Danio rerio: one gene and its partner. The protein of the gene in region 1 binds, or shares a complex with, the protein of each later gene. Links are inferred from orthologs where the notes say so. Each region holds a gene or a part of one and is shown in the gene's direction. Other genes may lie near its edges. The genes, in order: clspn and chek1.

Region 1 (3,827 bases):
AACCAAAGCAGATATACCAAACTGACTTTTATAAGGTGAACAAAAACAATGAACTAATCAAAGTGACCTTGCTGGATGAATTAAAAAGTGTGTTTTAAAGTGTTGTTAAAAGGATACTTCACTCAGAAATGAACATGTACTCATTTTTCCTAAACCTTTATGCTTTTGTTTTTCTGTTGAAGTCAAAAGAAGATATTCTGAAGAAAGCTGAAAACCTGTAACCATTGACCTGCATAGTATGTATTACTAATATGGAAATCAAATGATACAGGTTTCCAGCTTTATTAAAGTATCTTTAGTGTTGAACTAAAGAAAGAAATTAAGTGGGCTTGACCAACCACCTATAAAACAGACTTGACTCTTCTCCAAAAAAAAAAAATCTCTCCCGGACTCTAGCACCTAATTATCTGAGCACAATTCTCTTAGCACTGCCTCATGTAGATTTGCTGAATGTCTCCTCACTTGTAAGGCAATTTGGAAATAAGTATCTGTCAAATGACTAAATGTAGATTTTGAAAGGGTTTGGAACAAGTAAAGGGAGAGAAAATAATGACACACTTTTCACTTTTGGGTGAACTGCCCCTTTAATTGCACAGCCCTAATAATTTTCATTTTGACTTTTTCCTATTTAAAGGATGCTCCCCCAGTCAAAGCTCTGAATGACAGCGGCTGTTTGCTGGGAGACTCTGACCTGTTTGATGCTCAGTTAGAGGAAGACTCTGAACATCAGCTTGAAGAAGAAGAGGAAGAGTCTCTGGATGCCATCCGATCAGCTGTGAAAAAGAAGGCCAAGTATAAAGTAAGAAAACTTTTTCTTGGTTTGACTTTTTGTGTGAAAACAAAGTACCAAGACAGAACTGCAAGTAGTTTTTTATGCATATATTTTATATGCATATTTTAACTGCAATAATTAGGACTGGAACTCAAAATGTATATTGTGAATTTACTCATTATTTATGAGTAGTAAAATTCTGATTTCATGAGTGTAAATGGTCAGTAAGCAAAACTAGTTTTGCTCATTTTAACATAGAAATCGGTCACTACTTTAAATTTTTTTAAAAGTTACAATTTGCAAAAAATAGACAAAGTTAGCACAGAATTTTAGTTGTCCTTGTTTAAACGGGTTAAACAAATCAGCTTTACTGAAGGTTATGTTTTATAATTGAATATTTACAGCCTCATCTGTCTGAGTGCAGTGGAGACGAGGAACAAGAAAACAAGCCACAACGCAAGGTGAGATTATTGTAATGATGCTTTCCTCATTGATCGTGTTCATTGTGTGATGTAGCTGAATCATTTATTAGTTTTTCCTAATGATGTTTTTAGGAGCGGAAAGCAGCGAAAGCCAGTAAGGAGGCGATGAAGCAGCTTCACAGTGAGAGTCAGAGACTGGTGCGAGGTCAGTCAGCGGTCACATCTGATCTGCATGCAATTTTAATGTTTGATTTCTGTTTAAAATAATTTAGATTTACACATCTAGTTTTAATATTGCCCTTTAAAATGTTATAAATGCAGTTGAACCAGTCAAATCTTGCACTACTGTTCAAAAGCTTGGGTCAGTAAGATAGTTATGTCCATTTGTTTCAACAAAAAGAAAAATAAATGAACATATTCAGCACAAACACATTTGATTTATCTAGAACTTAAAGTTAAAATTCTGTTATTTTATATTTACCACATTATATGGAAATAAGTATAACTTTTCATACAAGTATGAAGCACCTTAAATGTTAAAAACTGTAAAAAAAAAAAAAAAAAAAAAAACACAAAAACTGTAGTCTATTATTATTTATTAGGCAAATAACAAACTGACAAGCACATTCAACTTCTCAGTGTGAATTTGGCCATTTAAATAATAAAAAATTAAACAATGATAATAATAAAAATAATTATGTTAGGCTCCCCAATTTTTCTAGTCTCTCTTGTACATTTGAAAATTCATAGATGACAACAATAGCCTAATTACTATTAAAATTAACTTAACATGCTTCAGAATGACCTTTTTATTGGACATTTTTTATTAAAGATTAAGAATAGAAGTTACTTGCAAACTTTATATAGTAAAGTATGATAAGCATAACATATTTCAGCATTGTTAATGATATTATAAAATGTTTAATAAGCAACATGGTAATATTATAATAATGTCTAATGACTCGTGTGATGGCTGAAAGAATCATTGCTAAATGTTTAGGAATAATTAACTTGGTGTAAATCCTTTTAAAATGTATATTTATTGTGATATTGGACTTAAGGGTCTGCTAAATCAGTGTTTCTGTTGGAGGACCAACACTGCATGGTTTGGATGTCTCCGTTGTCGCAGTCATTACAGGTCTGTCAGTCTCTGCTAATGAGCTGATGATCTGAATCAGGTGTGATTTGTTTAAAGAGACATGGAAAATGTGCAGAGTTGGTGCTCCTCCAGAAACATGGTTGAGAAACACTGTGCTAAAGGAATTAATTATTAGAAAAATTCTTCACTTTGTCTGTGCTTGCACATTTGCATAGGCTCTTTGTGAGTGTGTTGTTTCTTAGTTTTCTTAGTCTTTCATAGGTTTTTTAGTTCATGTATGTCTGTAAATTTGTTGTATGGAGCATCTTGGTCCCGGAGGCACATTGATTCGTTTTACTGTGTACTAACTGTATATAGTTGAAATGACAATTAAAGCCTACTTCACTAATGTTTCTCCAAATTCTGTGTTAATCTGGTAAATATCATCAGGATATTTACGACCAGTGTTCTGACGATCTGTGCTACCTTCTCAGAATTTGCCACCGGTAGCTTAATCTGTCATGTTTCATCTACCAAAACAGGTTTAGCACATCTTGTCAGCTTCAAATATCTATCAAAACTACTACTCTATTGAACAATGTAGAAAAAGGCATAGCAGCTTTAATTGTCCATCAGAGTGAACTACTGCCTTCATTTCATTAGTTTTATATTTAATTTGTTTATTAGAGTGGTAGTTCGTTCCGATTGACATTTGAAGCTGACAAAATGCGCTACCCCTGTTTTTACACCTTTCTTTAAGGAGGTAGTTCATTCTGATAGACATGATGTGCTAACCCTGTTTTTTTAGATGAAATATGACAGATTGAGCTACCGGTAGCACATTCTGATGAGGTAGCACAGATCGTCAGAGCACTGTGTACATGAGCAGCCAGACACAAGAACCATTTTCCCCCATGCTATTTCCCCTCTGAACCATCTCTATTTTCCTAATATGCACCTTAAACTGTATAAAGCAAAAAAAAAATGTATTGCTTGTTATTAAAGGGCCATGAAACCCCCTCGTTTCAGCAGGGTATTTTTTACACCTCTACTTTGGAAAAAGTCAGAAAAGTGGGCGTGTCCAGCTCTGTTTAGGGGGGAGTGTCGGAGGAAGAAAAGTGGGAGGGTGTGGGAGTGTCTATTTGGGCACGCGCGAGTTTCAGTCAAAATACTCACACACAGGAGAAAGTGATGGTGTTTAACCTACATGGACATCTGTAGTCGAATTATTTGCCAAATGATTAAATGGTGGACTTTAACTGCAGTTTGGCTCTTTCATTCAGGGAATTCATTCATGTCCCTCACAACAAACGAGATATTTGATTCGAGGATCTGCTCTAAGCGTGTATTTTTCATGCAATGTTTGATACCGCACGGCGAATGAGAGAAAAAAAAACCTCAGCATTTCCCGGAAACTTAGATGCACACGGCAGGTAGCGTCAGAAAGCCGCGTGTGTTATTCCGGTCACTAAATGCGGTTAAAAACCCTACACGAGGTTAAAGTTTGGTTGTGGTCCTAACATGTTACGGTGCAATAATTAACTTAGTTTGATAC
Region 2 (4,491 bases), on another chromosome or scaffold:
CTTACAAATATGTCATCTATGTCTCTGGATAAAGGAGGTCTTGCTTTCTGAAATGTACAAATTTGGAGTGAATTCATAAAAGCTCCATTCATATAAATGTCTTTTCTATCTTTCTACCTTCTCTCTTTTACTGAAGACAAACTTATGTTAATGTCTATCTAATGTTGATAGATAGATAGATAGATAGATAGATAGATAGATAGAAAGATAGATAGATAGATAGATAGATAGATAGATAGATAGATAGATAGATAGATAGATAGATAGATAGATAGATAGATAGATAGATAGATTTCTCTTTGGGCACATAAAATTTATGTATAATGAAAATGTTTTACTATAGTTACTATAGCATAATATTATAAAATAGTAGGCCTATCATTGTATACATTAATGTATAGTATATGCCTGTCTGTTATGATATAGTAGGCCTGATTGTAAGGTTATTTATTACTATATGACTATTAGAATTATTATTGTATAATTATTATGACGTTAATATATTCAATATAAAACATGTAACGTTAATAATGGTCAACACAAATAACTCACCAATGCCACTGAATGTGCAGGTCCAGTAATTTCGCGACACCGAATCCTGCTTCTTTGGGCTGTCAACATTGTTAATTTTTTTCTTACCTTATTTATTTAGGTTTACCCTTTAAATGGTTTACTAATTTCTGACACTCAAGACAGCTTTAGAAACGACCGTCTAACACTCAATAAATGAAGTTGTGTTTACGGAACTGAAGTGATGTTGCCATAACAACGAAAAAGGACCACTTCGATACATCAGCCAAAGAGCTTAGAATCACTCTATGCTCTTTGCATCAGCCTATCTGCGCCTCCCATGTGCGCCTATAGTTATGTGATGATGATGATAATTATGTTAGCTTATAATTGTAAAATATTATTTTAAATATATCGAAATGCTAGAAATAAACTACTGCCGTGAACTTTTGCCCACTTATTGACGGGCTTTTATGTTAGAAAATAAAATAAAAGCCCCTACATAAACGGTTTATTTCATGATTATTTCTTGTGTTCTTCTTATTTATAAATAATAACATGAAAACGTAAAACGCATAAAATACTTATCATATTCATCTTTTGCTTATATAGCTAATGTTAAATACTGCTGTTGTATACATTAATATGACAGTTATAAAAAACTAAATCAAAAAATATTTTTACAGTACAATTCAAATGAAAGAAACACAACAGGGATATAAAAATCTTCTTCTTCTTTTTTTTTTATATTTCGCATGTTGTGGTTGTTCTTAATAATTCTATATAACATAATGCTAAAAAGTTTCCCAGTGATGGGTTTCAGCTGGAAGGGCATCCGCTACGTAAAACATGTGCTATATAAGTTGGCGGTTCGTTCCGCTGTGGCGACCCAAGATTGACTATGCCGAAAAGAAAATAATTGAATGAATGAATAACGCAAAAAGTTGTCCCTCATGTTAGCGGTTTAAGCTTTTATTTTGAAAATTCTTTCCTCTTAGCATTTCCGATGATGTCACGTCTCTAGAAGGCGCCAAAGTTTGGACAGACGCTCTTGTATTATTATGTCTGCATAGACACTTATCAAGGGGGTGTGTGATTATAACAACAAATTACATTAACAAACCGCTTCACATGGGACAACGTTACCTCTGATATACGCGAAGGTATGTTTGTTTTAGCTAAATTAAAACTAATATCCGACAGCCCAAAGCTATCAGATTTGACGTTTCACTGTTTACAATTGCCTGCCCCGTAACATTTATCATGTTTACTGTTATATTTATTTACTAAAAACTAACATATGTCCTGTAAGTGTTATAGTCTATTAGCTTGTTATGCTGATTTGCTTTTACAAGGTTGTTCTGACTGACTTATGCCCACAGATTGCATAATGGCTGTGCCTTTTGTTAAAGACTGGGATGTGGTACAAACTCTTGGAGAGGGAGCATATGGAGAGTAAGTGACCAATGCACTTCATATTCGTTCCATCTTGATCAGTTGCAGTCTTAAAATTGTATTAATCTGCTTCAAATCATTGTAGGGTGCGACTGCTGGTCAACAAGAAGACAGAAGAGGCTGTGGCGGTGAAAGTTGTGGACATGGCAAAAGCCAAGGATTGCATCGAGAATGTGAAGAAGGAGGTCTGCATATGCAAGATGCTTTCACACCCCAACATTGTACGTTTCTTTGGGCACAGGAGTGAGGGGACGACACAGTACATCTTTCTGGAGTACTGTAGCGGAGGAGAGCTCTTTGACCGAATAGGTAATTGAACATTTTGGGTTCATTCAATAATTGTTGCATCCTTTTTGTTTTTGAGTCGTGTAGATGAGTCAGGGTTCAACGCTGGGGAGTTTTTCTACTGGTCTGATCGGGCCAATGATTCATATTTTTACTTGCCCTGACAAAAATTTTTACAGGCCCAAAAACAAAAAAGAGAAGTTAATAGCTTTTTTTTAGCCACATATTTTAAATAATGTGACATAAATAATGTCTGTGAATCTAGAAAATAAATATTTATAATGAGCAAAATTCTCAGTGTTGTGCAAACAAAAAGAGCAGTACGGAAAATGTGCAGGTTTTTTATTGCAGTTTGAAATTATATAAAAAATGGTGGCCGACTTGTAATACTGACGGCAAATTGTGCAAAACATTACTTCATTTTTCTCATGTTGTACCCATGTAAATGTCTGCTTCTAAGATGTTAAACACAGACATTTTCTTTTATCCTTATATTTTGATGTTGCTGTCACTTCACCACTGGTTGTTACCAGGTTATGGGGAAAAATATAGCATGCTCAATACACAAAATCAGATAAGAGCAACCAAAAAACAATATGGTGTTTACGACATCACAGAAAAGGTAGCATTTAAAGACTTAAAAACACAAACTTAAAATGCTTGCATTTGACCAATAATCGCAGGTCAATTAAGCTTTAGTGACAAGGCAGCACTTTCCCAATCGTAATGATCCTGTCTACTATCCCAAGTGTCTCTCACGCTGGCCCCGGGCCATCAGGCAGTCCTTGTTGTTGAGCCCTGTGAGTAAATCAACTGTAAAAAAAACAAATGTTCCCATCCTTTGCTTTCTTGTCAGAATTGATTTATTAAAATAAAGGCATTAAAATACCTAAAATTTATCTAAAGTATATTTTGTCAATCTTTCTGACAGAACCGGATGTTGGGATGCCAGAAAAGGAGGCGCACAGGTTTTTTCAGCAGCTGATAGCTGGTGTGGTAAGATTTGTGATCTTTTTTTTTTTTTTTTTTTTTTTTTTTATGGTGTATTTTGAGAACCATTTACTCTTCAAAGTTGACTTTGTTGTGAAACTTGCTCCATCTCACTTACAGGAATATCTTCACAGTGTTGGGATTACACATCGTGACATAAAGCCTGAGAATATTCTTCTTGATGATAAAGGTACGTCTGAATGGTATTTTTATACAGGATAAAATGCAATGTTCCACATGGTGTTCGCGGGGTCTTAAAGTCCTAAAATGTTTTAAATTTCCAAAGCTAAATGTTAGGCCATAAAGTCTTTAATCTATTAAAATATTGTGTTGTAGGTCTTAAATCTTTTTAAACAGGTCTTAATTTTCAGTTGTTTATAAATAGTTACCCAATCTGGCCATTAACATCCATATAATCACCAACAATCCATCTTTTATTTACAAATGTCCTGTTTAACTCCATTTACCATAATTGTTTAATTATTTTCCTAATAATAATAATTATTATTATTTAAAAGTTCCACTTGTATTTACTGCTTAGGACACTAACCTGGATGGACTGTTTTGCATACATTTAGTTTATTATAATAACTTTTAAAACATTTGTCCATTTTTCAGAAAGTCTATGTTGAAAAAAAGAGTGTTTGCAGCTAGAACTTGCTTGTTTTGACACAATATTTTGCTAATAGATATTTAAATTTGTTATTCAATTATCATAGTATTATTAAATTATATAATTTTTTATAGTGCAAAAATAAATATTTTTTTTTATCTGGGCCATTTAAAAAATTCTTTAGGGTTTAGCCCTGTATGAGTCTAAAATTTGTACATAATGGTCAAAATGTCTTAAAAAGTCTTAAATTTAACTTGGTGAAACCTGCAGAAGTTCCAGCTTCACAGATAAATTCAGCAGCAATATCCATGACACAAACACACACAGAAAAGCATTTTATTATCGATGTGCTGATATGAAATTGCAATATAGTCTGCTTTGGAGAGCTGGGGGTCTGTTTGGATTGTCAAATAAATTAATAAGCAAAATAAACAGTCCAGTAAAATTAAAAATGTACTCAAATTAAACTGGGCACATTACTATAGTAGTAGATCAATACAGACTAAACTAACATAAACTTAATATTTTTCAAATATTGTTTTACACAGTAGTCTATGGCATGATCATATTTTGGGGTCTGTGACATCTACAAGAATAAACATCTGTGTTGTAGTGGATGGACATTATGCATATAAAAT

The links.
Region 2: the proteins of clspn (region 1) and chek1 are in contact, whole or in part, in a crystal structure (PDB 7AKO), measured with the Homo sapiens proteins. The link is inferred for Danio rerio from reciprocal best matches to the Homo sapiens genes CLSPN and CHEK1. Residues at the interface, in NP_071394.2 of Homo sapiens: Glu938, Leu940, Leu941, Leu943, Cys944, Ser945, Gly946; in NP_001107593.1 of Homo sapiens: Lys53, Lys54, Cys57, Met61, Arg129, Thr153, Val154, Phe155, Arg156, Tyr157, Asn158, Arg160, Glu161, Arg162.

Annotation. Positions count from the first base shown.
Region 1 is NC_133194.1:50,564,104-50,567,930, reverse strand, and holds part of clspn (claspin), read left to right. Parts: intron 1-634; coding exon 635-799; intron 800-1,176; coding exon 1,177-1,233; intron 1,234-1,326; coding exon 1,327-1,399; intron 1,400-3,827.
Region 2 is NC_133196.1:24,017,303-24,021,793, forward strand, and holds the start of chek1 (serine/threonine-protein kinase Chk1), read left to right. Parts: upstream 1-1,443; 5' UTR 1,444-1,673; intron 1,674-1,892; 5' UTR 1,893-1,900; coding exon 1,901-1,965; intron 1,966-2,050; coding exon 2,051-2,206; coding exon of another isoform or gene 2,207-2,274; intron 2,275-3,181; coding exon of another isoform or gene 3,182-3,246; intron 3,247-3,360; coding exon of another isoform or gene 3,361-3,374; coding exon 3,375-3,430; intron 3,431-4,491. UniProt on the Homo sapiens protein: Serine/threonine-protein kinase which is required for checkpoint-mediated cell cycle arrest and activation of DNA repair in response to the presence of DNA damage or unreplicated DNA.